Sus scrofa: one gene and its partners. The protein of the gene in region 1 purifies or fractionates together with the protein of each later gene. This does not show direct contact. Links are inferred from orthologs where the notes say so. Each region holds a gene or a part of one and is shown in the gene's direction. Other genes may lie near its edges. The genes, in order: SIRT1, FOXO3, HIC1, E2F1, BRINP1, EZH2 and RECQL4.

The links.
Region 2: the proteins of SIRT1 (region 1) and FOXO3 purify together in Homo sapiens (affinity purification with western blotting; 4 studies listed by BioGRID and IntAct, with this or other methods). This does not show direct contact. The link is inferred for Sus scrofa from reciprocal best matches to the Homo sapiens genes SIRT1 and FOXO3.
Region 3: the proteins of SIRT1 (region 1) and HIC1 purify together in Homo sapiens (affinity purification with western blotting; 4 studies listed by BioGRID and IntAct, with this or other methods). This does not show direct contact. The link is inferred for Sus scrofa from reciprocal best matches to the Homo sapiens genes SIRT1 and HIC1.
Region 4: the proteins of SIRT1 (region 1) and E2F1 purify together in Homo sapiens (affinity purification with western blotting; 3 studies listed by BioGRID and IntAct, with this or other methods). This does not show direct contact. The link is inferred for Sus scrofa from reciprocal best matches to the Homo sapiens genes SIRT1 and E2F1.
Region 5: the proteins of SIRT1 (region 1) and BRINP1 purify together in Homo sapiens (affinity purification with western blotting; 6 studies listed by BioGRID and IntAct, with this or other methods). This does not show direct contact. The link is inferred for Sus scrofa from reciprocal best matches to the Homo sapiens genes SIRT1 and BRINP1.
Region 6: the proteins of SIRT1 (region 1) and EZH2 purify together in Homo sapiens (affinity purification with western blotting; 3 studies listed by BioGRID and IntAct, with this or other methods). This does not show direct contact. The link is inferred for Sus scrofa from reciprocal best matches to the Homo sapiens genes SIRT1 and EZH2.
Region 7: the proteins of SIRT1 (region 1) and RECQL4 purify together in Homo sapiens (affinity purification with mass spectrometry; 3 studies listed by BioGRID). This does not show direct contact. The link is inferred for Sus scrofa from reciprocal best matches to the Homo sapiens genes SIRT1 and RECQL4.

The regions. Positions count from the first base shown.
Region 1 is NC_010456.5:71,089,738-71,093,966, forward strand, and holds the start of SIRT1 (NAD-dependent protein deacetylase sirtuin-1), read left to right. Parts: upstream 1-1,429; 5' UTR 1,430-1,444; coding exon 1,445-1,856; intron 1,857-3,829; coding exon 3,830-3,946; intron 3,947-4,229. UniProt on the Homo sapiens protein: NAD-dependent protein deacetylase that links transcriptional regulation directly to intracellular energetics and participates in the coordination of several separated cellular functions such as cell cycle, response to DNA damage, metabolism, apoptosis and autophagy.
Region 2 is NC_010443.5:74,738,173-74,741,672, forward strand, and holds part of FOXO3 (forkhead box protein O3), read left to right. Parts: coding exon 1-265; 3' UTR 266-300; intron 301-3,500. UniProt on the Homo sapiens protein: Transcriptional activator that recognizes and binds to the DNA sequence 5'-[AG]TAAA[TC]A-3' and regulates different processes, such as apoptosis and autophagy.
Region 3 is NC_010454.4:48,166,664-48,170,830, forward strand, and holds the start of HIC1 (hypermethylated in cancer 1 protein), read left to right. Parts: upstream 1-1,367; 5' UTR 1,368-2,435; coding exon 2,436-2,472; intron 2,473-2,807; coding exon 2,808-4,167. UniProt on the Homo sapiens protein: Transcriptional repressor. Recognizes and binds to the consensus sequence '5-[CG]NG[CG]GGGCA[CA]CC-3'. May act as a tumor suppressor. Involved in development of head, face, limbs and ventral body wall.
Region 4 is NC_010459.5:37,187,319-37,191,607, reverse strand, and holds the start of E2F1 (transcription factor E2F1), read left to right. Parts: upstream 1-1,489; coding exon 1,490-1,494; intron 1,495-1,549; coding exon 1,550-1,661; intron 1,662-1,785; coding exon 1,786-2,178; intron 2,179-4,289. UniProt on the Homo sapiens protein: Transcription activator that binds DNA cooperatively with DP proteins through the E2 recognition site, 5'-TTTC[CG]CGC-3' found in the promoter region of a number of genes whose products are involved in cell cycle regulation or in DNA replication.
Region 5 is NC_010443.5:259,384,105-259,387,604, reverse strand, and holds part of BRINP1 (BMP/retinoic acid-inducible neural-specific protein 1), read left to right. Parts: intron 1-2,511; coding exon 2,512-2,748; intron 2,749-3,500. UniProt on the Homo sapiens protein: Plays a role in neurogenesis and brain development. May suppress cell cycle progression in postmitotic neurons by inhibiting G1/S transition.
Region 6 is NC_010451.4:109,383,686-109,387,815, forward strand, and holds the start of EZH2 (histone-lysine N-methyltransferase EZH2), read left to right. Parts: upstream 1-1,330; 5' UTR 1,331-1,453; intron 1,454-1,477; exon of another isoform or gene 1,478-1,501; intron 1,502-4,130. UniProt on the Homo sapiens protein: Polycomb group (PcG) protein. Catalytic subunit of the PRC2/EED-EZH2 complex, which methylates 'Lys-9' (H3K9me) and 'Lys-27' (H3K27me) of histone H3, leading to transcriptional repression of the affected target gene.
Region 7 is NC_010446.5:290,206-294,128, forward strand, and holds the end of RECQL4 (ATP-dependent DNA helicase Q4), read left to right. Parts: coding exon 1-25; intron 26-401; coding exon 402-485; intron 486-568; coding exon 569-748; intron 749-821; coding exon 822-1,001; intron 1,002-1,071; coding exon 1,072-1,186; intron 1,187-1,296; coding exon 1,297-1,559; intron 1,560-1,637; coding exon 1,638-1,908; intron 1,909-1,982; coding exon 1,983-2,112; intron 2,113-2,190; coding exon 2,191-2,348; intron 2,349-2,423; coding exon 2,424-2,604; intron 2,605-2,684; coding exon 2,685-2,835; intron 2,836-2,941; coding exon of another isoform or gene 2,942-2,964; coding exon 2,965-3,073; intron 3,074-3,155; coding exon 3,156-3,280; 3' UTR 3,281-3,423; downstream 3,424-3,923. Other genes in the region: MFSD3 (major facilitator superfamily domain-containing protein 3), read right to left, coding at 3,543-3,716, 3,790-3,905. UniProt on the Homo sapiens protein: An ATP-dependent DNA helicase which unwinds dsDNA with a 3'-overhang in a 3'-5' direction. Does not unwind more than 18 bp of dsDNA. May modulate chromosome segregation. The N-terminal domain (residues 1-54) binds DNA Y-shaped DNA better than ss- or dsDNA.

The DNA.
Region 1 (4,229 bases):
GTTTAGATGGGACATTGGAGATACATTTTCGAAATTATAACTTTTTTTTTTAAAGGAGGAAACATCTTAGATTGCTTTCTTAAGTTCAAACAAGTAATTGGCATGGTAGAGGCAGGACCCACTTTAAGCTTAAGGGCTGATTTATTGTAAATTCAGAGAGGTCCCTTCAGTGGCTAGAAACGCCATGCTGCAGAGGCAGATGCCTACCAAACTTGGCCATACTATAACACATCCTTAGTTAAGGTAGGCTATGAAGTCACAAGAGTTCTGGAATGTCAGGAAAAGTGGAAAGTAGAAGGCCTTCAAGTAGGGCAGGACTAATATTTTAGCTCTATTTAGCCCTCACTTTATATCCAGCAATCTTATGTAACTATTTTTTTTTCCCAGCCTGACCTGCTGCATGTGGAAGTTCTGGGGCCAGGGATTGACCCAAGCCGCTGCAGTAACAACGCTAGATCCCAAGACTGTGCCACAAGAGAACCCGCTACCTTAATTCTCAGCACAACTCTACCATTGCAGAGATTAGGACAGTGGGTGTAGAAAGGCTAAATAAATGGCTCAAGGTCAATCAGAAAGACCTCAAGTTCGAAACCAAACCGATGTTTATAAGGGCCAAGTCATGCTCAGTTCAGCTCTCCTCATGAGGCCCCACTTGGCCCAATATACTCATTTTGAAGCCCAGAAAAGATAAATCACACACATTTGGAGCTAAGTTGGGGCCTGAAATCGAACAGGCTGATCCCTACCCGGCCCCCCACCGTCAAACCTCTTTCTAGGGCAGATACATGCTTTTAATGGTCTAACAATGTATATCACCCTCTGAGTAATGGAGAGAGGGAGAAAAATAAACCGGCTAAGGAGAGAAGCAAGCAGAAAATAGGAGCTGAAGAGTACCCGCCAGAACGGTTTGAGGAGGGTGAAGAGTGAGGTGTGTGTCCTTTTGCCTCTACTCATACAGGTTAACAAAACAGACCCATCACCTAGCTTATTTGGCCAGCTTCATTCCCTATCGCCTTTCAGGAACTAAGTTTTAAGCCTTAACGTTAAGTCCAGAAAAGACTAAGTGAGGAGAGCAAGGTGTGCACTTTAGGCAGAAGTGGAAATTCGCAGTGCAAACCAAAACTTGAGCTAACCGGGCAGCAGTGATTTGAGGACAGCTTGAAAGAGAAGTTTGGCTGAGAGAAGCGCCTGCAGCGGAGGGGTGGGGCCACAGCACCCTGCAGCGTTTGCTCCTGGCCCCCACCGCCTCCGCTTGCCACGTGACCCGCCGTGTTGTGGTCCGGCCCGCGTGGGTGGCGGGAGCTGCGGGTGGGCGGGGGCGAGGAGGGGCGGGTCACGTGACGGGGTTTAAATCTCCCGCAGCCGGAGCCGCGGGGGCGCCAGTGCCGCGAGTCGAGCGGGAGCAGAGGAGGTGAGGGAGGAGGGCCAGAGAGGCAGTTGAAAGATGGCGGACGAGGCGGCGCTCGCCCTTCAGCCCGGCGGCTCCCCCTCGGCGGTGGCGGCTGAGAGGGAGGCCCCGTCGCCCCCCGCCGGGGAGCCGCTCCGCAAGAAACCGCGGAGAGACGGCCCGGGCGTCGGGCGGAGCCCGGGCGAGCCTGGTGGGGCGGCCTTGGAGCGTGAGCTGCCGGCGGCGGCGGGCGGCTGCCCGGCGGCGGCGGTGCTGTGGCGGGAGACCGCTGCGGGCGGGGAGCGGGAGGCCCAGGCGGCTGCGGCGGCAGGAGAAGGAAACAATGGGCCGGGCTTACAGGGCCTATCCCGGGAGGCGCCCCCGGCCGACGACTTCTACGACGACGACGACGACGACGAGGGCGAGGAGGAGGAAGAGGCGGCGGCAGCGGCGGCTATTGGGTACCGAGGTGCGCAGGGCGCGGGCGGCCGGGACTGCGCATCCCCCCGCCTCCTCTCGGGGCCCCTCCTGATGTGGGGTGGGGGAGTCTCGGGCAGGCTGGGGGCTCGTGGCTGGCTTTGTAGCGTCCCCCTCCCAACCAGGGCCCTCAGCTGCGCGCCTCCGCGGCTGCAGGCCTGGCTGCAGGAGCGGCCCGTCGACTCTATCCCTCCCTCGCCCTCTCCCCGCCCTCCTCCCCTCAGTCCCAGGCCCGCCCCGGCGGCCTTGCGCTTTGCGCAGCCGCGGGGCTGGCGAGCCTCGCAGTGGATTTTAAAATAAGTTTCTCTTTCCTCCTACTCTTTTAGCATATTGCTTTTGTTAAGTGTTTTTTGCTTCTCCGCCCTTTCTCCCCTCGCCCCGCACAGTTAAACCTGCAACTTTTGACTGTCCCTGATAACAACCATTTGCAGTTGACTTTGCAAACTGACACCTGTGCAATTTGTTGTTGTTTTTGAGGGCCTTTATTTATAAACTTGTTTTGAAATTTAAAAGAGTAAAGCTGTTTCTAAAGTCACAACCTGCAAAATTTGAAGAGCATAGCTGTTTCTACAGGCATCACTTTGGTGCAGTTAATAGAGGGCATAGGAGAGAAATAGGTTTTAGAATACTTTGTGTGAATAGTGTTTTTTCTCTAAATCATATTCTTATAGTGGTTTTTAGATTAAGTGTCTGTGTGTGTGTATGTAGCCCCGAAATACGAGTTGACGCTTTTCTGACCTACTAAAGCAGATACAGTATATGATGGTTGTATATGTCTCGTCATCTTTGAGTGTGTCATGTTTTCTAGCTGGATAGACGTGTTTTTATTAATCTTTTATTGGTAAATACAATCTGGGCCATTTGACCTGTGTAAAGCTTACGACGTGTGCATTAGGGACTGGAGTGGAAAAACGACCCCTGTTTTCAAGGAACAGTTTAATAGTGGGAATGAATAGTGCAAATATCTTAGTGTATGTTTAGTATTATGTATTATAAATGTATTTTTACATGTACATATATGCAAGTTGCCGTAGTTATATTTGCACCACCTTTGAATAAGTTTTTTGGAGTTTTTTGGCTGCACCTGCAGCATGTCGAAGTTCCTGGGCCAGGGATCCAACACTCCCCACTGCAGCGACAACTTGAGATCTTAACCCACTCCACCACAGCGGGAACTCCTGAATTCTATTATTTGTGATCGACAAATTCCAATTAACTAGGTTATTTATTACTTTTTGTATTTTTAAGTAGACTTAATTTCTTGCTCAATTTTGATGAACTCTAACTTAGATTCTGGGCAGGATCCCTAAAGATGAGGATATACTGTTCCTGGGAATGATGCAAGCTGATTCAGTAGGCATTCTTTACACACTCAGTGTGAATGTTAAGTGCTTTGTTTATTTAAAAATTTTATGACCGAACCTGGGCCTATGGGAGCTCCTAGGCTAGGGACTGAATCCAAGCCACAGCTGAGACCTATACTAAGGCAGCGGAATGGGATTCTTTAACCCACTGCACTGGGACAGGGATCCAACCTGCATCTCAGTAGCAACCCAGGCAGGTACAGGCTTAACCCATTGCCCCACAGTAGTAACTCCCAAGTGCTTTATTCATTGGAAATTCTTACATCATAATCATTACAGTTCTTCATACATTTTATTTATTTATTTTATTTTTTAGGGCTGCACTTGCAGCATATGGAAGTTCCGAGGCCAGGGGTCGAATCTGAGCTGCAGCTGCCAGCCGATGCCACACTAATGCCAGATCTGAGCTGCATCTTTGACCTGCACCACAGTTCACTGCAACTCTGGATCCTTAACCCTCAGAGGAGGACAGGGATCGACCTGCTCATGGATATTAGTTGGGTTCTTAACCAACTGTGCCATAACAGGAACTCTCTTATTCATACATTTTAAATGGTAGATTGTTTCATCAGCCTTGAGTTACTTTTGGCTTCTTTTGCAGATAACCTTCTGTTTGGTGATGAAATCGTCACCAATGGTTTCCATTCTTGTGAAAGTGATGAGGATGATAGAGCCTCACATGCCAGTTCTAGTGACTGGACTCCAAGACCACGGATAGGTATGGTTTTCACAGCCTAAGCTATCTTTTTTAGTATTTTCTTTTTAAGTCAACTAAAAATAAAATTCTCTGTCCCCTTATGGTCTGGTGATGAGGTTCTTAGGTGTTTAACGAAATTTACTATCAGCTTGTTTCTAGGGAAGGTAGAGCTTTGAACTGCTTTTGTTTCTAAATAGCATGGGCCTGTCTAAGCTGACCTCTGGTATTTCTCAAATAACCAGGTCCTTCTCACACTTGTGGGCCTTTACACTTGGGCCCTCTGTGTGAAATGGTCTTTTTTTTT
Region 2 (3,500 bases), on another chromosome or scaffold:
CCTCTCAGGCTCCTCCTTGTACTCAACGAGTGCGAACCTTCCCGTCATGGGCCACGAGAAGTTCCCCAGCGACTTGGACCTGGACATGTTCAACGGGAGCTTGGAATGTGACATGGAGTCCATTATCCGTAGCGAACTCATGGATGCTGACGGGTTGGATTTTAACTTTGATTCCCTCATCTCCACACAGAACGTTGTTGGTTTGAACGTGGGGAGCTTCACTGGTGCTAAGCAGGCCTCATCTCAGAGCTGGGTGCCAGGCTGAAGGCTCACTGAGGAAAGGGGAAGTGGGCAGAGCAGGTCAGTGCCCAGTGCTGTGGCGTAGTGGTAACGGGGTGGGGGTAGGGAACCGCCTTTTGTATACCTGGTGCATGGTAACCTGCTCCCACCCGGTTCTTTCTGAGTTGTACCTGCAAAACAAATAGGGCCGTCAGGGTCCCCTCCCCACAGTTTGCTGACAGCTCAGGACTTTTACCAGAGGCTTTCGTTTTTCTTTGCGTCCAGTCACCCTCACTGACCTATGACACAGGTCCCCCTATTGGATGGATGGATGAGGAGACAAGGGAAAGGAGGAAGGGGACCTTAGGCCACACAAATGTCAAGGTTAAGGACCCAGCAGTGGACTTTCTTAGAGTCTCAGGTCCAGCTCTGCCATTGTCGATCTTCCATGCTGTGGGTTTTATATCTTTCTTTTTCAGTAAAGTAACAGTTTTTGGGTACTTCTAATATAACTGTAGACTGTGTATTCTGGACTCTTTCATACAGGAGTATGTCTACCAGGAGCCAGACCTGTTAGATTCTTCACCACTAGTACTAAGCATCTTTACTAGTTAGCACTTAGCATCTAAGTATTTAAAAGAGCAAAAGAATTCAATTGAAAACAGAAGTGTTTATGTGAGAGAGCACTTTTTCACATGCTTCGTTTTCCCCGAAGTATAAAAGATGTCAGATTCCAAACAGTGACATGGGTTGTGAATGGAGACAGATTTTTTTAAATTGTGGCATTTTAATTCTGTTGGAACCAGAAAGATCATGCAACATGATATGGAAAGAAAAGCATTTGCTTGGAATCAGAAGTTGAGGATTCGGTTCCACTTCTCTTGCTTTCTGGCTGCTATCGGAAGTGTGTCACTTAGCCTCTGAGCCTCAGTTGCCAGCTTTATACCATGAGGATAATAACCCCTGTTGCTTAATGGGGTTATTGCAAGCGTCAGATGCACTGGGAGTTCCCTGGTGGTCTAGTGGTTAGGACTCAGTGCTTTCACCACTGTGGCCCACATTCAGTCCTTGGTCTGGGAACTGAGATCCCACATCAAGCTGCGGCACACTGCAGCCGCAGCTCCCCTCCCCCCAAAAAAGGCCCTAAAATGGAATCCTTAAACACTGAAATGTGCAAAAGTGCTTTTAAAACCACAATGGTTTGAAATATGTATGGTGTAATTAGGTAAACATACTGACAGACAGATGAGTAAACAGGGAGCCCAGGAAGGTTAAGTAGTTTGCCCAGGGTCACACAGCTAGACCCAGAATCCCAATTTCTGAAATGGCTTGAACCGTAGTTGTTCTTTCTAATTATCTCTAGATGGTGAAAATGGGAAATGCTCTGAACTGGAGCCAGAGGAGCAGATAATATACAAGCTTGCCCTCAAACAACTCTCCCTTTCAAGTAGCAAAATGAGCATCAGGTCTTTTGCTCACAGGCTTGCACAACTCTACTTCCCATGTTTGGGGGCTCTGTTCTATGCCCCGGGTCCTCTTTTTTCTTTTTTCTTTTTTTTTTTTTTTCTCTTAAATGTCAGCAAGCTACTCTTCTTTAAGTGGTGGGAAAGAGAAGTGGGATTCAAAGCCATAAAAAGCTGAGCCTTGTTTAACCCTCTGCCCTGGTGAAGGAATTACCAGGGTCCCTGCGGTGCGCCATCCAGCTCACACATAGTTGTAGAAAAGGGAATGTCGAGTGTTGTGATGCTCAGCTTCTCTGCTTTCCCAGGCAGAAGCAGGCCCCTAATGGTTCTCAGACATCTGTTTCCAGTCATTTAATAGCCCTTGAGATGGTAAAAAGACTGCAACAGAAGCCAAATAGGGTGACACACTTTCATGCTGCCAAAACTCGGAATGGGGGAGATTTGCCTTGAGAAATTCAGATATTTGGCTTTCAGAAGAATAGTTTGTCTTCCTTTAAGAAGAGAAATGTGATTGTGGCTTCTAAAGACCCAAGGAGGTTTTAATTTTGGTTTCGTTGTAAGGCATCCACATTCTAGCTCACTGAAAAGACTGAGAGAAGAAAATGTGCTGTCGGTTTTTGTCTGACTTTTCAAGTGTAGGTTTTCCTCTTAGCTGAAGAGCAGACCTTTCGTGTGTGTGTGTGTGTAATTCTAAAAGATTGTATAAAAACATTTTAAGGGAGATTTAAATACTTAACTTTTAAAAATGTATTTAATGAATCATTACTATTTTGATAATAAACTGCTTTTGAGACTACACATATTTTTAAGATTACTACCTACTTTTAAGATTACCCATTTTGTGATTATACCCTATTGGAAACAGGGACGTTTAGTCACCTCAAAACATTTTGAGGGAAGTTTTTTTGAGAAAATATTTCTGAAGTTAAAAAAAATATATATATGGGAAGTCACCAAATTTTCCTGAAACTAAACCAGCTCAGTATGACCAGAGCAAGAGAGGAAACATCCTGAAGAAAGCCAAGGCCTCTGAGGGAGGCTTGGTTTCTGAGTGTACAATTTCCATTTTGCTTTGGAATGAACTGCTCCTCTCAGCTGGGAGCATATGTGGCCTAATATAGATTCTTTACTTTGACACTGAATTCATGCCATCACTTTATGGAAGTTTCTCCTAAATTCACAAGGCAAGCCTTAGGTCATAGTCTCAAAACTCATTTCTCCCAAATTTAGCAGCCCAGCTTCCCAAGCCTTCTTCTGTCATGGCTTTCTTTGATTTGACTTTTTTTTTTTTTTGAAGAGCTGCACCCAAAGCATTTGGAAGTTCCCAGCTAGGGGTCGAGTCACAGCTACAGCTGCTGACCTACACCACAGCCACAGCAACACAGGATCCTTAACCAACGGAGCAAGGCCTGAGCTCAAACCTGCATCCTCATGGATACTAGCTGGATTTGTTTCTGCTGAGCCACAATGGGAAACTCTGACTTTTTTTTTTTTGTCTTCTCTATGGAGGTTCCCAGGCTAGGGGTCTAATTGGAGTTATAGCCACCAGCCTACACCAGAGCCACAGCAACATGGGATCCAAGCCATGTCTGTGACCTATACCACAGCTCACAGCAATGCCAGATCCTTAACCCACAGAGCAAGGCCAGGGGTCAAACCCACAACCTCAGGGTTCCTAGATTCGTTAACCACTGAGCCACAACAGGAACTCCTGACTTTTTTTTTTTTTTGATTGAAGCCAATAGTTGTTGTATTCTCCAGCCCCACTTCCTGACTTGCTAACTAAAGTCACAGGACCCTGAGTGGGAGCCGTCAAGT
Region 3 (4,167 bases), on another chromosome or scaffold:
TCGGAGAGACGCGATCTGGGCGAACCTCATCGGTTACTATGGTAACTCTGCGCCCCATCTTCTCGTGCGCCGCGGCTGAGGGAGGCACAGCCAATCAAAAGCTGCAGGCTTTCTCGGAACCCACTCCCACCCTCCACGTGTGGGCGGGGGTCAGGAGGTGCGGGGAGGAGGCGGAGCGTGGGTTGAGGAGATCCACTCAGCCACGCAGGCGTTGGCTTCAGGCCTGGCGTGATGGCGGGGCGGCGCGGTACACTTCCGGAGTAGCTGTGCCACTGCCCGCTCACCAGTGCAGGGGTCCCCTCCCTCCTAGAAGGGGCGTCACCTGCAGGAAATGGGCCTTCACTTGGGGGTGCAGGACCCTGCGGGGGATCCTGGGCTCCAGGCCCTGCTGTAAGACCGTTGCGCGTACCTCAAAAATGGCTCGCACAGGGTATCTGGGAGCTTAGGTCTCTTCTGCGGGACCACCCAAGAGGCTCTGTCCAGCCGTTCCCCTGTCACACATCCTGGGGTCCCTCCAGAGATATGCAAGTTCAGCGTGCACTGTTTGGGTACCACTTCTGCCCAGGTCACAGAGGGCTCTACATGGCAGCCCCCTGAGTATGCCAGAAAGCCGGGACTTCGTAAGGGGGCAGGTGTGTATGCAAACATGAGCGCCTTCGAGTGTCAATGCCTAGAGAGGATCTGGGTGCAGATGGGTTTATTCTGTGCATACCATACCCACAGGGTTGAGTGAGGGAGGGTGTGTTGAGGGGGTGGGTGGGTACAAACGGACAGTCCCACCCAGGAATATCTAGGGGGTACCCTACTATCTTGTCTATCTTTTTCTTCCTTAGGATTTTCGGAACCTCTCTTACACCATCTACTTTCACCAGAGTCTCCTCCTTGTGGGCAAGACTTCTCTGAATTGGGGCAATTTGAGAATTTAGAAATATGTACATGGGATCATTCAGCTCAAAATCCCGAGGCTTGTGGGGCTCGCAGGTCCGAGGCTTGGGTCTCCAGATGGGCACATCTGGGAGGCTGAACCTGCGAACAGCCCCCCCCGCCCCCGCCTCCGCCAGCCCTGCATCTGCGATCCTCCAGCCCAGGTGCGCAGGAGGGAGGTCGCGGCTGTGCCGCGCCAAGTCTCGCCGCGAGGTGGCGCCATAGCTGCAGCGGCGCCTGCCGGCCCGGGCCGCTCCAGATAAGAGTGTGCGGAAAGAGCAGCGGGGCTGAGACGCGACCAGGACGCGGGGAGGACGGACCAGCAGGACAGACCGACCGGGGGCCCGGAGGGCGGAGGGCAGCGCAGCGCAGCCACGTCCCCCCTGGATCCGCCGGCAGCCGGGCCCGGGGCTTCCGACATGCCCCCCAGGTGGGTCCTCGGGCTGGGGACCGGGAGGGACAGGGGACCCGGACACGCCCGGTCCTCGCGCGCTGGCCGCCTCGGGCGCATCCTCCGGCGCGGGCGCCCCAACGCGGCTGGCGTTCAGGGCTCCGGGTGTCGCTCCTAGAGAACTCAGGACCGCCGGGACGCTACTCTGCGCCGGGTTCATGGCGGGGTCAGCGGCCCGGGCCCGGCTCTGCCCGCACATGGGTTGCAGAGGCGAGGGGAAGGGAAGGGGAGCTGGCGGGCGGGGCTGGCAGGGGCGCTGCCCTGGCACAGCGCGGCGCCTGGCAGCGGGGCGGGTGGGGCGCCGGCAAGGAGCTGCCACCGCCGCCGGGAGGGAAGCCCGGCTGGGCTGCGGCCTCAGGTAACGGGCCGCGAGGCCCTGCGGGCCAGGCGGGGAGAAGGGTCGGGCGGGCAGCGGACGGCCGGGGAGTTCTGGGCTCGGTTCAGGCCCGGCAGCGCCTGGCTCTGCCGAAATTGGGGGCCGAGAGGAAAAGCTGCGACCGAGGCACGGGGCCTGGCGCGCTCCTCCCGGCCAGCCCGAAGTTGGGAAACTTTTCCCCAAGTTTGGGGCGGCGGAGTTCCCGTGGAGAAGGGGCCGAGGGGAGCTGCGGAGGGAGGCGCCGGGCCGGCGAATGCAGAGAGGAGGCCGAGGCCAGGGCCGGGACGCGGGTGGGGCGCAGCCAGGGTCAGGGCCGCAGCCGGCTGTGCGCCGTGCCCGCCCGGGGCGCTGCCCCCTCCCTCCCCTGGGAGCTGCGTGGCTCCCCCCTCCCCCCACCTGCTTCCTGCCTCAGCCTCCTGCCCCGATATAACGCCCTCCCCGCGCCGGGCCGGCCTTCGTGCTCTGCCCGCCACGGCAGCCGCTGCCTCCGCTCCCCGCGCGCCGGCCGCCGCCCGGGGCCCAACGGAGAGGGCCTGACAGCCCCCGGCCAGGGCGGCGCCACGACGGGCACCGCGCTCCCCTCCTACGGACCACTTCCCCAACTGGGGCAACTTCTCCCGAGGCGGGAGGCGCTTTTTTACGCGGCTCCCTTATATCCCACTTGGGCAAACTTCTCGGCCTTGAATGACTTTTCCTGAAGCGGACATTTTCCTCAAATCGGGTAACTGTTTCCCAAAGGGTGACTTCGCACCAACAGCTTTCTCCTCAGAAGCCCCCAGAACCCAGGCCGTGCGCCTGGCGGCATCCGGGCCCGGGGGCGCAGGCCAGCCTGGCCTCTTCTCCACCAGCCAGTCTCGACTCCTTCTCCTGGTCCGGGCCGGCCGGCCCAGGCTCCCACTCCCAGAGGCCGCGGATCCTCCGCCAGCGCCCAGGCCGCGGTGCTCGATGCCCCTGCCCAGCTGAGGGGAAGGGGAAGTGGAGGGGAGAAGCGCCGGGCTGGGTGCAGGCGGCGAGGGCTGGCTGCGGCTCTGACCCGGCCGGTGTGTGTCCCTGCAGGAGATTGTGCTGGGCAGACGATGCTGGACACGATGGAGGCTCCCGGCCACTCGAGGCAGCTGCTGCTGCAGCTCAACAACCAGCGCACCAAGGGCTTCTTGTGCGACGTGATCATCGTGGTGCAGAACGCCCTCTTCCGCGCGCACAAGAATGTGCTGGCGGCCAGCAGCGCCTACCTCAAGTCCCTGGTGGTGCATGACAACCTGCTCAACCTGGATCATGACATGGTGAGCCCGGCCGTGTTCCGCCTGGTGCTGGACTTCATCTACACCGGCCGTCTGGCTGACGGCGCAGAGGCCGCGGCGGCGGCGGCGGTGGCTCCGGGGGCCGAGCCGAGCCTGGGCGCCGTGCTGGCCGCCGCCAGCTACCTGCAAATCCCCGACCTCGTGGCGCTGTGCAAGAAGCGCCTCAAGCGCCACGGCAAGTACTGCCACCTGCGGGGCGGCGGCGGCGGCGGCGGCGGCTACGCGCCCTACGGGAGGCCGGGCCGGGGCCTGCGGGCCGCCACGCCCGTCATCCAGACCTGCTACTCGTCCCCGGCCGGGCCTCCGCCGCCGCCCACCGCCGAGCCGCCGTCGGGCCCCGAGGCCGCGGTGAACACGCACTGCGCCGAGCTGTACGCCTCGGGCCCCGGCCCGGCCGCCGCGCTGTGCGCCCCCGAGCGCCGCTGCTCCCCGCTCTGTGGCCTGGACCTGTCCAAGAAAAGCCCGCCGGGCTCCGCGCCCCCCGAGCGGCCGCCGGGCGAGCGCGAACTGCCCCCGCGCCCAGACAGCCCTCCCAGCGCCGGCCCCGCAGCCTACAAGGAGCCGCCGCTCGCCCTTCCACCGCTGCCGCCGCTGCCCTTCCAGAAGCTGGAGGAGGCCGGACCGCCTCCGGACCCGTTCCGCGGCAGTGGCAGCCCGGGACCCGAGCCCCCCGGCCGCCCCGACGGGCCCAGCCTCCTCTATCGCTGGATGAAGCACGAGCCAGGCCTGGGCAGCTACGGCGACGACCTGGGCCGCGAGCGCGGCTCCCCCAGCGAGCGTTGCGAGGAGCGCGGCGGGGACCCGGCCGCCTCGCCCGGGGGGCCCCCGCTCGGCCTGGCGCCGCCGCCGCGTTACCCCGGCAGCCTGGACGGGCCTGGCGCAGGCGGCGACGGCGACGACTACAAGAGCAGCAGCGAGGAGACGGGCAGCAGCGAGGACCCGAGCCCGCCCGCGGGCCACCTCGAGGGCTACCCGTGCCCGCACCTGGCCTACGGCGAGCCCGAGAGCTTCGGTGACAACCTGTACGTGTGCATCCCTTGCGGAAAGGGCTTCCCCAGCTCGGAGCAGCTGAACGCGCACGTGGAGGCGCACGTGGAGGAGGAGGAGGCGGCGCT
Region 4 (4,289 bases), on another chromosome or scaffold:
GCTCCCAGTTGAAAGAGGAAGCAGATAGAGAAGTCCAGTGTGCAGTCAGTGCTGGGCAAGGGAAGAAGTAACTCCAGTACCAGAGGGCTCCCTGGAAGAAGTGATATTTATACTGTGGCCTAGGGATCTCATTCTTTATTATTATTATTATTATTTTTAGTACTAAATCTTATTTTTTTATTACTCAATGAATTTATCACATCCGTAAGGGATCTCATTCTTGATTGCATCTTAGCTACCTTTTATTGTTTGTTTCACTTTTGGCCACCCTGAGGCATATGGAGTTCCAGGCCAGGAATCAGATCTGAGCCACAGTTGCAACCTACACCACAGCTGTGGTAAGTCCGATCCTTTAATCCACTGTGCCAGGCTGGGAATAGAATCTACATCCTGGCACTACAGAGATGACACCGATCCCATTGTGCCACAGAGGAAACTCCAGCTACTTTTTTTTTGATGGGCCCATCCCCACCAGATGGCAGGCAAGTTCATAGAAATTATCAAGCCTTTCACATATCTGCCCTCAGCGCTGGCACAAAGCCTGGCACAGAGGAGAGGACAATATAACTCAAATCAGCTGAACTGAGCAATGAGAAGTGGCTGATGGGGAGGTCCTGTGGCCTCTGGTTGCTCAGCACACTCACCTCCTCCCTTTGTAAAATCTAACATGGAATTACCTTAATAGTTGAAATCTGTGTCATATGTAAACATTTGTTACCTCAGTTTCCCTCCAGCCCCTTTCACTAAACTGTTAGATCCTTAGGGCCAGGAGTCAAGAAGGGGGCACAGAGCAGACTCTCAAAACATTTGTTGGGGTTCCCAAAGTGGCTCAGCGGAAATGAATCCGACTAGGAACCATGAGGTTGTGGGTTCGATCCCTGGCCTTGCTCAGTGGGTTAAGGATCCAGCGTTGTGGTGAGCAGTGATGTAGGTGGCAGACAGGTCTCAGATCTGATGTTGCTGTGGCTGTGGCCTTGGCTGGCAGCTACAGCTCTGATTTGACCCCCAGCCTGGGAACCTTCCAGGGGGTACCCTAAAAAGCAAAAAAAAAAAAAAAAAAAAAAAAAAAAGGTTTGTTGAATGAACGAAGGAATCAGTTCAAGCAGAAGCTGTGCTTTGGTTGTTGAAGCGATTCCAGCTACAGGAGGCTTTGGAGAAAAGCCCCAAGCTGTACTGGGTCAGACATTCCTCTCCATTTTCTGGCAACTCCTTCTGCTTGTGCTCTGGGTGGAAGGGATAAGGTGGGCGCAGGATTTGAAAGTAAATGGCATTGGTGGGGCAAGTTGAGGAAAGATGTGGCTGGGGTTTTGTAGGTGGGCTTGAGATCCTGGAAAAGAGAAACTGCGTTTGCAGTTTCTAGAGTTATGGCCTGAGGGTGTTGGAGCACCCACAGGTGGGGGTTCTGGGAGGTCACGTGGGGTCTGTGGATAGCGATCTGTGCACAACACACGTTCTGTTGTAAAAGCCTCCACTAAAGGGTATCAACAGGATGGGGTGCGTCGAAGAGGGGGTGGGGCCACCACTCCCCACACAGGGCCGTCCCCTCTAGGGGCGGGGAGTGCGAACGCGCCTGGCACCGCCCCGACAAAGCCTGCGCGCGCCCCATCCTGCGATTGGCGGTGCTTCCTCGCGCCGCCGCCCCGTCCCGCCCTCCGCCGCCGGTCCGGCGCGCTGCAACCAATGGGCGCCGTCGCCGTCGCCTCCGTCACAGCCAGGACAGCCAATAGGCGCAGCGCTCGGCGGCTCGTGGCTCTTTCGCGGCAAAAAGGATTTGGCGCGTAAAAGTGGCCGGGACTTTGCAGGCAGCGGCGGCCGGGGGCGGAGCGGGATCCGGAGCGGGATCGAGCCCTCGCCTCGGCCTGCTGCCATGGGCCCGCGCCGCCGCCGCCGACTGCCACCCGGGCCGCGCGGGCCGTGAGCGCCATGGCCGTGGCCCCCGCGGGCGGCCCATGCGCGCCGGCGCTGGAGGCCCTGCTCGGGGCCGGCGCGCTGCGGCTGCTCGACTCCTCGCAGATCGTCATCATCTCCACCGCGCAGGACGCCAGCGCCCCAGCGGCCCCCGCCGGCCCCGCCGCGCCCGCCACCGGCCCCCGCGACCCCGACCTGCTGCTCTTCGCCACGCCGCAGGCGCCCCGGCCCACCCCCAGCGCGCCGCGCCCCGCGCTCGGCCGCCCGCCGGTACGGACACCAGGGACACTGGGCCAAGTGCGCTGCCTGGACCCCGGCGTAGACCCGGGCGGGGCGCTATGTTTGGCCTGGAGGCGGCGAGGGCGGGGGAGGGTGGGTTGAGGCGCCCAGGCTGGGCGGTGCCGAGCTTGGGTTGGGCCTTCGGGCTCCGCCCCGGGGTGCAGGGTGACCTCGGGCCAGTCCTTGTTTGCTCCTCTGTGCTCTGGGCCTCAGCTTCTTCGCTGGAGCCTGTCTAGGGTCAGACTCAATGATAATAATGGCCCACGTGTATTCAGCTGTTGCTGACTGCCTGCCAGGCCTCTGGCAGACTTCAAGGCAGCTAAAACTCACATCCATGCTGTGAGCTAGCTCTGTGTTGTCACTGTGCCCATCTGAACTGTGCCCAGAGAGGGGAAGTGGCTTGCCCCCTGGTCACAAGGCTGCAAGTGGGATTTGAACTGAGGCCTGCTGGCTTCAGACCAGAACTTGTGGCTGGATGGTGGGCACGGCTGCTTGGGGAAGTCAGGGGAAAGTTCTGGGACCAGAAAGTTGAAGGGCCATTGAGGAGACCCTCCTTCCTGCCTGGATGCTGGACTGCCAGGTGCAGGCCTAGCCCTCCGGGCCTCTGGGGACAGGCCGCCTGGCTGGGAGGCCTTCTCTGCAGGGGCGGGGTGGCTGGGCCAGCTGCTGATTCCCCTCCCTCTGCCTGTCCTTCCATCTGCCACCCTCCACCCTCCCAGACTCTGGTTGCCATGGAAGCTCATTAATCAGGCAGGCAGACCCCTGGCCCCAGTGGAAGTACTGGGTGGGCTGGGCCTCTGGGAGCTGGAGAGGAGGCCCCCAGTGCTAGAAAAGAGTAAATGCCCCAGGGAGATGCCTTGATAAAGTGCTCCCTGAGCAGCAAGAGGCTTAAGACCAATTCAGATTGGGGGGGGGCTCAGAAGAGACCGCTGAGTTACAGGGGGAGAAGGGGGTGGAGGCCTGGAGCTTGGACCTGTGGGCCGCAGGACAGGGTGTGGAGACCAGTTTGACTGGCGCAGCCTGTGGGTAAGGGTAGGGCATGGATGGGCAGGCAGGGGCCAGCCAAGCAGTATGGGGTCTCAGCACAGGGCTTGGAGCAAGTGGGAGGGGAGAGGCAAAGCCCAGGGCAAGGAAGTAGTATCTGCCCAATTACTGTTGGGGGACTGGGTGGCAGCTGGTCCCTGAGGCATCCCACCAAGGTTCCCCCAGTCCCCCTGGCCCCTTGCCCAGTGTGGCCTTCCTTCCGGAATCACTAAGATGCTAATAATAACAATAGCAGCCACCATTATTTTGAGACTGTTTTGTGTGTTAGGCCCTGTGCCAAGCACTTTACCCAATTAACTCATTTAACCCTCTCAACAACTTTCCCCTTTTCCAGGTCGGGAAGCTGAGGCCTAGAGAGGTTAGAACCTTCCCTAGTTACTCAGCTAGTGAGTTGTGAGACCAGTCCAGATTTCCTGAGTGGTTAACCACTAGGATGCCTCGCTTCCTGGAGATGCTAATAGAGGTTGATGAAAGCACAGGACCCCTTCCTCCTAATGAGTGAGGGGGATGGAAATTGTACCGGGGTGGGTCGCTTGGCTGGTCTCCTGCACCTCAGCAACCTGTTACTGCAAGTACCAGCTTGGGGCCTGGACAGGTAGCTTCCATTTAGCTAATTGATAGTACTTGGCTGTGGGGCCTGCCCTCGGCAGTCTGAGCTCTAGGTTCAGAGGGACAGCCAGAGACTGGGCCAAAGACATGCCCTGTGCTCCACTCCTTATGGTGCCGGGGGCAGCCTCAGTGGGCCTGAGCATTCCCTTCATTCAGCACTTGTTGGTGAGTGCCTATGAGGTACTAGGCAGAGGCAGGTAAGGAGCCTCTGCCCCTCAGTGCTTAAGGGCTAGTAGACATTTTTCGCCGTGGGCAGGGGTGGGGGCTGGTGCTGTCTTGGAGCTGAAGTTGAGAAACATGGGCCCAGGTTTTGCCTTGAACATTGTACCTTTCGGTAGCCACTGGCCACCTGAGCTCTGGCCTCCACTGACCCTCGGCACTGGCATTTGTTTGGGGCAGCCCATGAAACAAGCTACAGACTCAGCTTCTGCACAGGTGAGCATTCACCG
Region 5 (3,500 bases), on another chromosome or scaffold:
AAGCTTGAAAAATAGGACTGAGAATATAGTCTATAGAGTTTCTTTAAGCAACTGAAACTTAACCCCAATCCATAGACTCAGATGCCTATAGGGGATTGGGATCGGCTAAAAATACATCTTGCTCTGGAAGCAAAAATGGCAATACAGATAAAATGACTCAATAATGCATACTCTGAAAAAATCGTTGACTTGGTGTAGAAGGACGTTACTGCTTGATTTGGTTTGCTTGACCTTTAGGAATCTGTATCATACAAGAGCCCTTCTAAGCAATGATTCAAATTCGTTTGGACTCTTTGCTCATTGGGGTGGAACTCGCCCAGCCTTGCGGTGGAACATCTCCCAGCCTGGACACCTCTGTCTGTTAGAAAACCTTCCGCCTTCCATGCATATTGACAGAGGATCTATCTTTCTAATTAGCGTTCCCACCAGCGTTGGTGCAACAGGCACAGAATCCCAACCCCTCCTCCTTGTAGAAGCTCTCCAAGGACCTAAACACTGCCCTCGGGATATGTTCTTCTTCTGATTAAATACTCACAGCTATTGTTCCTTTATTTATCCTGAAATTTGGGTTGAAACTTAAAAAAAAAAAAAAAAGCACACACACACTTTCATCAGAGGAATGGCATCATCACTATTGTCATCCAAAATGGGAATAAATCACATTTATTGTTTGCTTGCTCTGTGTCAGGAATTGTTCTAGACAATTCTCAAGAATTCTTTCACTTCGTCCTTTCAGCAACCCTCTAACGTCGGTATCAAAAGCATCTCTGTTTTAGAGAAGAGGAAGCGGAGCCTTGGAGAGGTTGAATAGGATGACGTCAGTAGTTAAGTGGAGGAACTTGACTCTAGCAATGCCCAGCTCTTAACTACTGGATGATGGATTCCTACCAGAAGACACGCTGGAGGCCCAGTCTCCTTTTCCACACGGCCCCTCTGAAAATAGTCTTTTTTAGCTGCCGTATGAAGAAAGGTAGAAACGATGAGGCTTTTTTTTTTTTTTAAAGTAATTTGAAAGCCAGAGAAAGATAAAAATCTAGAAACGCAACTGTGAAGTAGAGAGCGAGAGAAATGCTGAGTTTATTCAGCAAATCCCTGATGAGGAGGATTAGGGATGTCCCTGAAGCATGAATGAGAAAAAAAGTTAATCCAAATATCACAGTTCTCTTTTACACAGTGGGTAGTAAAACCCCAATATAGGCATTGCTGGCTAAAACTGTCAGCACCTCCAAAAGAAGGGGAGAAGAATGTCCCAGGTGAAAGTGCTTGTGCGAATCAATTTAGCCCAGCGTTGTCTTTTTGTTTCGGGGCACCATCAGCAGTGGCCTGCTGTGCTGACATTTCATAGGTACAAGAGCAGCACGCCTGCCCAGATAAGTCCTTCTCCATCATTGGTCCTCAAGATTAGGACTTGGATTAGTCAAGTGTGGAGAAAAGATCATGCGTTGTGGTCCAGAGAATTCCTCCTATAAACATGAGCTACTCATTTCCTTTTGGTGGGTTTTGCCCTCCTCATTAAGCAAAGAAGAGAAAATTAATTGGACGCCATTCTCCACTGATGTTGGGGTGTGTGTGATACAGTGGTCCTCTTAAATTCTATAACTTTATGTATATCTTCTTACCCTGGAAAACTACCAAAGTATCCCTGTTAGTCATAGAGGAAATCCAAGTTCCTTCGCACGTAATAAAGACGTGCCTTTTGCCCTCTGGCATCTGCCCTTTTCTAAAACCTATTCTCCTCCAGCACTGCACCTCCACCCATCCAAATTCATGTCCTTCATCAGCAATTCCCAGACACGTTAAGTCTTCCTTCTTGCCCCCGCCCCACTTTAGAATGTGCTACCTGATCTTTTTTACATTACAATCTCGTATTCACTTTTCAACCAGCCCAAATATTACCTCCTCTCAAAGTTTGCCCTGCTAACCCAGCAATCTTATTTGCAGGCTTCTGCTGTCTTGTTGCCTCATAAGGCCAGTTTTGCTCTGGGTTTCTACAGCGGTGTTAGTTATGATGACGTGTGTACATGCCCACCCCTGCTGCTTATATTGCAAACTCCCCAAGGGCAAAGATCATGTCTTTTTCATCTTGATAGACCTCATGCCTAGCTCAGGACTTGGGCTTCATAAATAGGGTTTATAAATATTAGAAGGAAAGAAATGAAGGAAATAAGGAAAAATAAACAATAATCTTGTGCTTTCAATAAGGATTTTCTCCCCAAATGGAAAAAGTATATTAACAGATCTGGCTCCAGCCTCAGTCCTAATATCACGGAATAGAGTTTATGCAGTGCAGGGATGGCCAAGGTCACGACCTGAGAAGTTTAAGTAGAAGCAAGGCAACTGGAGGCCTCGCCAATTATGCCCTGCGTGCATCTAGGCAGGCCCAGAAATCGTGCGATTACAACACACAAGGAGCAAGCCAGCAGCTTCAGGTTTCCACCCATCACCTCTCGGAACTGTTAATGAAACACCTTTTCTAACCTTTTTTCCCCCCTTCTCACTATTCTCAATCAGGTCTTCAGATCATCTTCCCTCAGTATCTGCAAGAGAAGTTTGTCCAGTCAGCCTTGAGCTACATCATGTGCAACGGTGAGGGGGAGTACGTGTGCCAGGACAGCCAGTGTAGATGCCAGTGTGCGGAGGAGTTCCCGCAGTGCAACTGCCCCATCACCGACATCCAGATCATGGAGTACACGCTGGCCAACATGGCCAAGTCTTGGGCCGAAGCTTACAAGGACTTGGAGAATTCAGGTAGAGAGCCTCACGGTACTACTGCATGCATGGCCTCGTGCCAAGTCTATAGAAGGAAACAAACTGGAGTTAGGATGGCTGGCGGAATATTCAGTGACATCTCCCGGGCCCCCGGCCTCTCTCACTTTGGGGGGGTCCAGTCATTCTAGTAGCGGTCAACAAGTAGGCACTCAATAAATCTCCACTGAGTGGAGTGGTGAATAGCATAATCAGGTTTGTGGTCCTGTGATGTATTGCTTCTGTGGTACCCAGAAGACAGAGGGGATTATGCCGCACAGCACATAGGAAGCCCCTGAAGAGAGAAGTCACAGGTAGTTATATTGATTCTTGAATGTGTGTGCGTGTCTGTCTATCTGTCTAAATAAATGAACACACGTATATGTACAAATATGTCTGTATATATGCATATATATATATGTACATAGGTATGTAGATACTTATGCAGATATTCGAAGAATTCTCAGACTTTCACAGCTGGAAGTCACTTTTCAGGTCACTTGGCTGTGTCCTGCTTTTCATGGTTAAGAAAAGTGAACAGGGGAGGAAAGTTAGCCACCCAAGGCCATACAGTAGTTAAGGTGTAGAGTTGGGTTTTTCCTCCTGGGGTTATAGGGTACGTGGGAAATCCAGGCATGTACCCTATAACTATGCAGGTAATTGTGACCTGCTTATCATAGGTGTGTCAGGAGTGAGGAGCTCCTGGGAGCAGATCGCATGGCTTTGGAGGTCAGTGTAGCCAGGAGGGGCCGCCT
Region 6 (4,130 bases), on another chromosome or scaffold:
AAATTCAGGAGATCCCGTGGCGCAGCAGAAACTAATCCAACTAGGAACCATGCCTGAGGTTGCAGTTAGATCCCTGGCCTTGTTGAGCTGTGGAGTAGGTCGCAGATACGGCTTGGAGCCTGAGTTGCTGTGGCTGTGGTGTAGGCCGGATTCCACCCCTGGCCTGGGAAACTCCATACGCCTCGGATGAGGCCCTAAAAAGAAAAAAAAGAAAATTCAGAATAACCTTACCTTCACTGTCAGATAAATTAAAAGGGGAAACTGCATCCTAAACAGAATATTTCTAATTCTTATGGGTTGATACAGGCTCACCCGCAGATCATTTTTTTTTTTAACACTTGAAAGATGCTGCAATCATCCCAATTTTTTCCAGAGGCGTTAGCTCGAGGCAAGTGAACCCCACTCACCCCTGATAAATGATTAACGTTGACACGTGTTTGGAACTACAAACGCTGGAAGGTGCCGAACAAGGCGCTCAGAATGAGGAAACTGAAATAACAGTAGGGCTGCTGTTTCCCAGGTTTCTAAGGAGATGGGCACTGCGGCCTCGACCAACCAAAGTCCAGCGGGCCAGGGGATCTGAGTCGGGCCAAGCCACTGAGGGGCTTAGCAGAAAAAGTAGCTGGCAGAGCGCTCTGCTCGCACCGGAGGCGGCGCGCCAGTCCGACCAGACCGCGAAAGGCTCGGGGCTCCTCGCCCGAAACGAACCAGATTGGAGCCCGGACCGCAGAGCGTAACTGGCCGGCAATCGGGGTACCTCGCGCGCGTCCGCCGGCCGGCCTGCGCTTCGGCTCCGCGCGCGGGGAAAAGAGCGCGGCAGTTGAAACCGTTACCACCCCCGAGTTTTGAACTGGTTCAAACTTGGCTATCGGCCCCGCCCCGCCCCTCCGGCCCGGGAACTCTGAGGCTGCCGGCGGTTCCCGCCAAGCGCCGCGAGCGCGCCGTCCCGCCCCCTGGTCGGTTCCCGCCATCCTGCCCTGGCCGCCTCCCGCCCGCGGCCCGGGATTCGGGCTGCAGAGGCCCCATCGTCCCAGCCAGCCGACCCACCGCCTTCCTGAGAGGCGCCGTGCGTTCGGCGAAAGAACAAAGAGACGGCGCAGCGCTTCCACTCGGCGGCCGCGTCCCTCAGCGCCCGCCCGCTCGCGCGCACGCGCCGCCGGCCCGGCCCGGCTGAGTCCCGCGGGCTCCTCTGCGTGGGGCTGGCTCGCCGCCACGGAGCCCGGCGGGCCTTGTGATTGGACGGGAGCCCGCCTCGCGGCCCGCCAATCGGGGCGGCGCTTAGTTGGACAGGGGGGGCCAAATAAAAGCGATGGCGATTGGGCTGCCGGGTTTGGCGCTTGGTCCGGGAGCGTCCGACACCCACTGGGACGCAGAAGGCGGTGGAAGCCCGGCGGCGGTGGTGGCGCGCGGGAGCGGCGCGCGGGAGCGGAGCGGGCTGGGGCGCGGGGCTCAGGTAGCGTGCCGCTGTCGGGCCGGCCGGCCAGCGGGGCTCCGAAGCTCGGTGAGGGGCGGCGGCGGCGCCGGGATATCCCCGCCACCCCTCCGGGTATCGCCCAGAGCGGGCTTTCCCGGGGCGCCGCTTTGGCTGGAGGGGTGAGAGGAGACCCCTCGGAAGGGGCCGTGGCTTTGGGCTGGCCCGCGCGACCGCGGGGGCGGGCAGCGCCGCACCTGGCGACCTAAGGCGGGACCCCGGGCGGGCGCCCTGGGGGGCGAGCCGAGGGGTCTTCTCGCGCGCCCGCCCTTCGGGAGGCGCGGCGGCTGGGCTGGGGGCGCTCCGGTGCTCGGGGCGGGCCGGCCGCCCGAGCCCCTGTCTCCTTTGTGTGGAGCGTCGCGGCGGGAGCGCCCGGGTGGGACGGGACGCACACAAGTTGGTGGGACCTCGGCACCGAGTGCACACTCAGACAAAGGACGGACTGTGTCTCGGGGGAGCTCGGCGCGGGGAAGGGGCAGTGACACCCGGGCCTGACAGCGGGCGGGAGAGGGGCGTGGGGAGCGCGGGCCGCGGCGCAGGGGGCGGGCTGGGCCCCACGCCCCCTCCCCGCGAGCGCGCAGGCTCGGCCGGGGCCGAGGGGGCCGGGGCGGCGCTGGGAACCGAACTCGGAGCGGCTGCGGGTCTGACATTTCCCCGGAAAGCACCCCCGAACCCCTCGTCTCCACCCGCTCTGACGAGGCGGTCCCGGCCGCCTTTACCCCCTCGGCTGGCTTTCTGTTAAGTTTGAGGAAGGGTCGAGCCGTTCTCCCCCCGCTCGGTTTTGTTCGTTTCGGAGGGCTTTTCGTCGAGTTTCCGCGTCATTGTCCACCCCCCCAAAAAAAGTCGGTGCCATCAGGTCCCTTTTTGAAAATTGGAGGAATCGAGAAGCATGATATTTTGAAATGAAAACTTGGTGAACTCACGCCTGCTGAGTTCCCGCTTTCTAAAGAATCATATTTTTTTTAAAAAATTACATGCTCTTTCGGCCAACTTATGTGATACATCTGAGACTGGCGACAGGTGCTAACGAAATCAACTGTCATTTAGTAAGAGATTATTCTCCAAATCCCCAGGGATTGAATGAGGATGCGATGGTAGAAAGAATTGATCAAGCAAAATGTTTATGACAAATGTGTGTTTAGGTGGTCTGGTTAGCAATTCGTCATTAATTGGTCTTGTTTTCCGTGAACAATAGCTTTGTTGAGTCAGAAAAGACTGACTACAGAAATGTTTGTTGCCTAAGAAATTGAACGTGTGCTGTCCACAGTTAAGCTAAACTTCCTTTGTTTGTCACACAGGATCTGTAAAATTTAAGTCATTTGGAAACAAAGATATGTCTTTGGTATTTAAAAATATTTTACTTCAAGGTTTACTTTCTGGGTTTTAAAGGTCATTTATCGGATTAATTTTGTGGCTTTTTAATGTCACATAAAACACCATTTAAGAAAATCTTTAAAAAACACTAATGCTGATACAGTTGAATGTAGGCTATACTTCTAAGGGATTTTAAGAGCGTGTGGGATCCTAACCATTAGACCACCAGGGAGCTAGGGGGTTTGGAGTTTATTTTCCACTACTCTTCATTCATCACCGTTAGCAACTATTTTATGTTTGGAAATAAAATGTAGAACAAGTGTGTAATCCTAACAAGTTTATTGATAATTTTATTTCAAGAAAATGAAAGTATTTATGACCTATTTTAATTTCCTTTTCATATTACCTAAAGTTAGGAGTAGGTAGGGTTCTAGTCCTGGATGTAAAGAATCCTTTCTCTCTTTGTGGTGGTGTATTTGGGAATTTAATGCTTAAGTTCTTGAAAACACTTAGGAAAATGGCATCTTAAATTCTAGTCTTTGTGGCAGGGGAATATCTTCAAAGAAGAGGAATTTAGGAACATAGCACCGATTTGCATTGTTCTATCTGATGATCTAATGTTCACCCTACCATCTTACGGTTTCATAAATATGGAGACAAAGAAATGCAGTGTAAAAGTCTTTATTACATATTTTGCAGTGTTAGACACCGCTGAACAGACATTCCAGGTGCTGTCCTAAGTATTGTTTACTGTATTAGTTGCTAGTAATTATCTATTAAAAAGTCCTCCTGATAATCTGGCCTCTTGTTATAAGATGAGCTAGTTAGGGAGATTTTGGTAGATATTTGGATCTTTTAGGATAAGAAATTGCAGTTTTTCCTTACTTGTTTGTGTACACTATATTTGGCAATTACTGTCTTTGTAGTTGCCACAAGATTTATTTTTAAGTTTTTTTGGGGGAATTGGTTTTTAATTTTTTATTTGATTTGAAAATGTATTTAAGTAGCAGTGATTAAAAAAACCACACTTGTTGATTTAGTGAAGTTAGGCACACAAAAAAGCTGTAATACTTTGATATCAGCTTTGCCTTGCACACATACATATAGGTGATTGTCTTTGTGTTGGCCACTTAAAATTTTTAGGCAGATTTCCCCAGGTTACACTGAGGCTTTCTAGGATATCTTCCATCCTTTGAGCTGGCATGCTTAAGGAGAACGAATTAGTTTCCATCTTGGCCTAAAAAGCGGTAATTAAGAAAGTTGATTTTTTAAAAAATCAACAGCAATAAAAAAATCCTCTGATCTCATGCATTCTGGGGTTAATTAGAAATGACCAGTGGATTTG
Region 7 (3,923 bases), on another chromosome or scaffold:
CCTCATGTCACTCATGGATGACCAGGTGGGTGGACAGGGCCCCTGGGCACATGCAGAAGGTGAGAATGGGTAGCCACCGCTCCGTCAACCTACTTGGGCTGTTGGTTCTTGCTCTGCCCCACCCAGCGCTGCAGAGAGCCTGGCTGTTCACAGCCCCAGGCCCCCCAACAGGAGGAACGGCACTGGGGGAATGACACCCCCCCCCCACTACCTGTCTATTCCTGGTGCTCCTGCATCAGGCCCGCAGGTGGCTCTGAACCCTGAGTCGTGGGACCCAGGATCTAGGTTTCTTCTCCTCAGAGGGCCCGAAGTTGAGAGAGCAGTGGTTGGCAGGCCAAACCATCCTAAGAGTTGTGTGGGGAAGGGCCAGGGTGGGTGGCATCATGCTCCTGTATCTGCAGGTGTCTGGCCTGCCCCCAGGCCTGAAGGCGGCCTGCATCCACTCAGGGATGTCGAAGAAGCAGCGGAACTCTGCCCTGCAGAAGGTAAGGGGGCCTAAGGGCCAGATGGGCAGAGGGAGCAGTCCCCTGGAGGCCCTGTGCAGTTGTCCTGACCTTGCCACCCTCAGGCTCGATCAGCCCAGGTACAAGTGCTGATGCTGTCGCCAGAGGCGCTGGCTGGGGCAGGAGCAGCGGGGCTTGCCTTCCTCACCCAGCTGCCCCCGGTTGCTTTCGCCTGCATCGATGAGGCCCACTGCCTCTCTCAGTGGTCTCACAACTTCCGGCCCTGCTACCTGCGAGTCTGCAAGGTAAGCCTTGAGGGGACCGGTGAGTGGGCCAGGGAAGGTGGGGTGGTTGTCCTTACCACCCGCCTCCACGCAGGTGTTACGGGAACGCGTGGGTGTCAGCTGCTTCCTGGGTCTCACGGCCACGGCCACGCGCAGCACTGCCCTCGACGTGGCTCAGCACCTGGGTGTGGCTGAAGAGTCTGTCCTCAGGGGGCAAGGCACCATCCCTGCCAACCTGCACCTCTCTGTGTCCATGGACAGGGACCCAGACCAGGTAAGTGGGTACAGGGGCCCAGCCAAGGTCCTGCTGCCTGGCTGCAGAGACAGACCGTGCTCTCTCGCAGGCTCTGGTGACACTGCTGCAGAGTGACCGTTTCTGTGCCCTGGACTCTATCATCATCTACTGCAACAGGCGAGAGGACACCGAGCGTGTCGCTGCCCTGCTGCGCACCTGCTTGCGTGAGACCTGGGCCCTGGGACCCGGAGGTTGGGGTAGCGGGGCAGGGCTGTGCCCCACAAGACCGCTGTAGGCACGCTCCCCACCTGACCATCTGTGCCTCTCCCTGCAGGCTGGGCCCCAGAGGCCGTGGCTGAAGCCTACCATGCAGGCATGTGCAGCCGGGAGAGGCGGCGGGTGCAGCGGGCCTTCATGGAGGGCCGGCTACGGGTGGTGGTGGCCACGGTTGCCTTCGGGATGGGGCTGGACCGGCCAGACGTGCGGGCCGTGCTTCATCTGGGGCTGCCCCCAAGCTTCGAGAGCTACGTGCAGGCTGTGGGCCGGGCTGGGCGCGACGGGCAGCCCGCACACTGCCACCTCTTCCTGAGGCCCCAGGTGAGCATCCACCCGCTGGAGCTGCCCAGCGCCCCCCCCTACTGCAGCCCTTCGTTCACGGTGGCTGCTCTGCTGCAGGCTGAGGACCTGTGGGAGCTGCGCAGACATGTGCACGCCGACGCCATCGACTTCCTCGCCGTGAAGAAGCTGGTGCAGCACGTGTTCCCTGCTTGCGGCCACGCTCAGCAGCCCCTGGTGCCTGAGCCAGGCGAGAGCCAGGAGAGCTCGGCGGCCACAGTCCCCTGGGATGCCGACCACCCCCACGTGGAGCTCACAGCCCGGTGCCCGGGCCACGAGCGGGCACTCCCAGTGCAGCCAATGGTGCAGGCCCTGGATGTGCCCGAGGAGGGTGAGAAACAGGGGCCGTGTGTGGCCGGGGCGTCCCCATGTCCCCACGTCCCCTGAGCCCTGCTCTGCCCCTAGCCATTGAGACCCTGCTCTGCTACCTGGAGCTGCACCCACAGCGCTGGCTGAAGCTGCTGGAACCCACCTATGCCCGCTGCCACCTGCGCTGCCCTGGGGGCCCCACCCAGCTCCAGGCCCTGGCCCGCAGGTGACTACACTTCCCCCTGGGCTGGGGACAGGGACCAAGGACCAGGCTTCCGATCACATGCCCCCTTCCCTGGCTCAGGTGTCCTCCCCTGGCTGCGTGCTTAGCCCAGCAGAGCCCTGAGAACACAGCTTCTGTGGAGTTCGATGTGGTGGAGCTGGCAGACTCCATGGGCTGGGAGCTGGCCCCCGTGCGGCGGGCCCTCCGGCAGCTACAGTGGGACCCGGAGCCCAGGACAGGTGCGCCTGCCCCCCAGCCCTGCTTGCGGTGGGCTTACCTGCCCACCTGCCCATGTCTAACACCCTGTCTGGCAGGTCTGCCTCGGGGCACGGGGGTGCTAGTGGATTTCAAGGTGCTAGCCTTCCACCTGCGCTCCCCCGGGGACCTGACCGCCCAGGAGAAGGATCAGATCTGTGACTTCCTACATGGACGCGTGCAGGCCCGAGAGCGAGAAGCCCTGGCCCGCCTGCACCACACCTACTGGGCTTTTCACAGGTGCTGGAGGAGGTGGGCGGGGCCTGGGCCACCCCACCCACCCCCAGGTGGGCAGACCTAACTAGCCCATGCCACCCCAGCGTGGCCTTCCCCAGCTGTGGGCCGTGCCTGGAGCAGCCCGATGAGGAACGCAGTGGCAGGCTCAAGGCCCTGCTCCGCCGCTACTTTGAGGAAGAGGAAGCAGGTCCAGAGGGCATGGACCAGCAGGGCCCCGAGCCAGGCCAGGCCACGGTGAGTGCCAGGATCTCCAGGGAAGGTCAGGCCGTGGCAGGCATGAGCGTGCGTGCACTGTGCGCACACGGGTACACACTCACTCCCTGCCCTGTGCCGCGGCAAGACTGATGTGTCCCCCACGGGCAGCTCCAGGACTGGGAGGCTCAGATCCGACGGGACATCCGCCACCTGCTGTCCTCGTGGCCTGAGCAGCAGTTCTCAGGCAGGGCTGTAGCCCGCGTCTTCCACGGCATTGGTGAGGACCTGGGAGGCACAGCCTGGAGAAAGGCAGGGGCTGGCAGCCAGAGTCCCCAGGGCCACATCTCTGTCCACCGCAGGGAGTCCCCGCTATCCAGCCCAGGTGTACGGGCGGGACCGGCGCTTCTGGAGAAAATACCTGCACCTGAACTTCCACGCCCTGATGCACCTGGCCACAGAGGAGATCCTGCTGTGGGGCCGCTGAGTGGCCTGCTGGGGGGACCGTGTCAGCACAGCAGAGATGAGGCATCGGCGGCCAGAACACTGTGTAGCCCCTCTGGACAAAGCCTACTGCCGGGGCGCGGGGGCAAGGAGGCCTTAAAGCAGAATAAAAGATGCTCACGTCTTTTTTAGGGACCTTCCTTCCAGTGGGGACAACCCCACAGTCTGAGGACAACCAAGCACATCTCAGTCCAGACACAGGCCTCGGGTCCACTCCACTTTATTGACAAGGCCAGCCACCCGGCTCAGGCCAGCGTGCTGGGTGCAAGGCCTAGGCACAGCATGGGTGTGGCTGAGAGAGCGAGGAAGAGGAAGAAGCAGAAGCGCAGCCCCAGGCTGTCAGCCAAGGCTCCGGCCAGCGCGCCCACCAGCAGCTTCCCCAGCAGCTCCAGAGTGGCCAGGAGGCTGTAGTGTGTGGCCTGGAGATTTGTGGAGATCAGTCAGGACCTGCTTGGACTCCAGTCCCGTGGCCCGAATGTCCCAGCCACGTACCCTCACCTGCAGGGCACTGGGTGCCAACTGGCTGCAGCGCATCATCAGGGTGAAGGTGGTGGTTGTGACCAGGCCTCCCAGGAAGTGCTGCAGACACAGGCTCAGCAAGGCTGCCCCTGGGGGTGCTGAGGTCA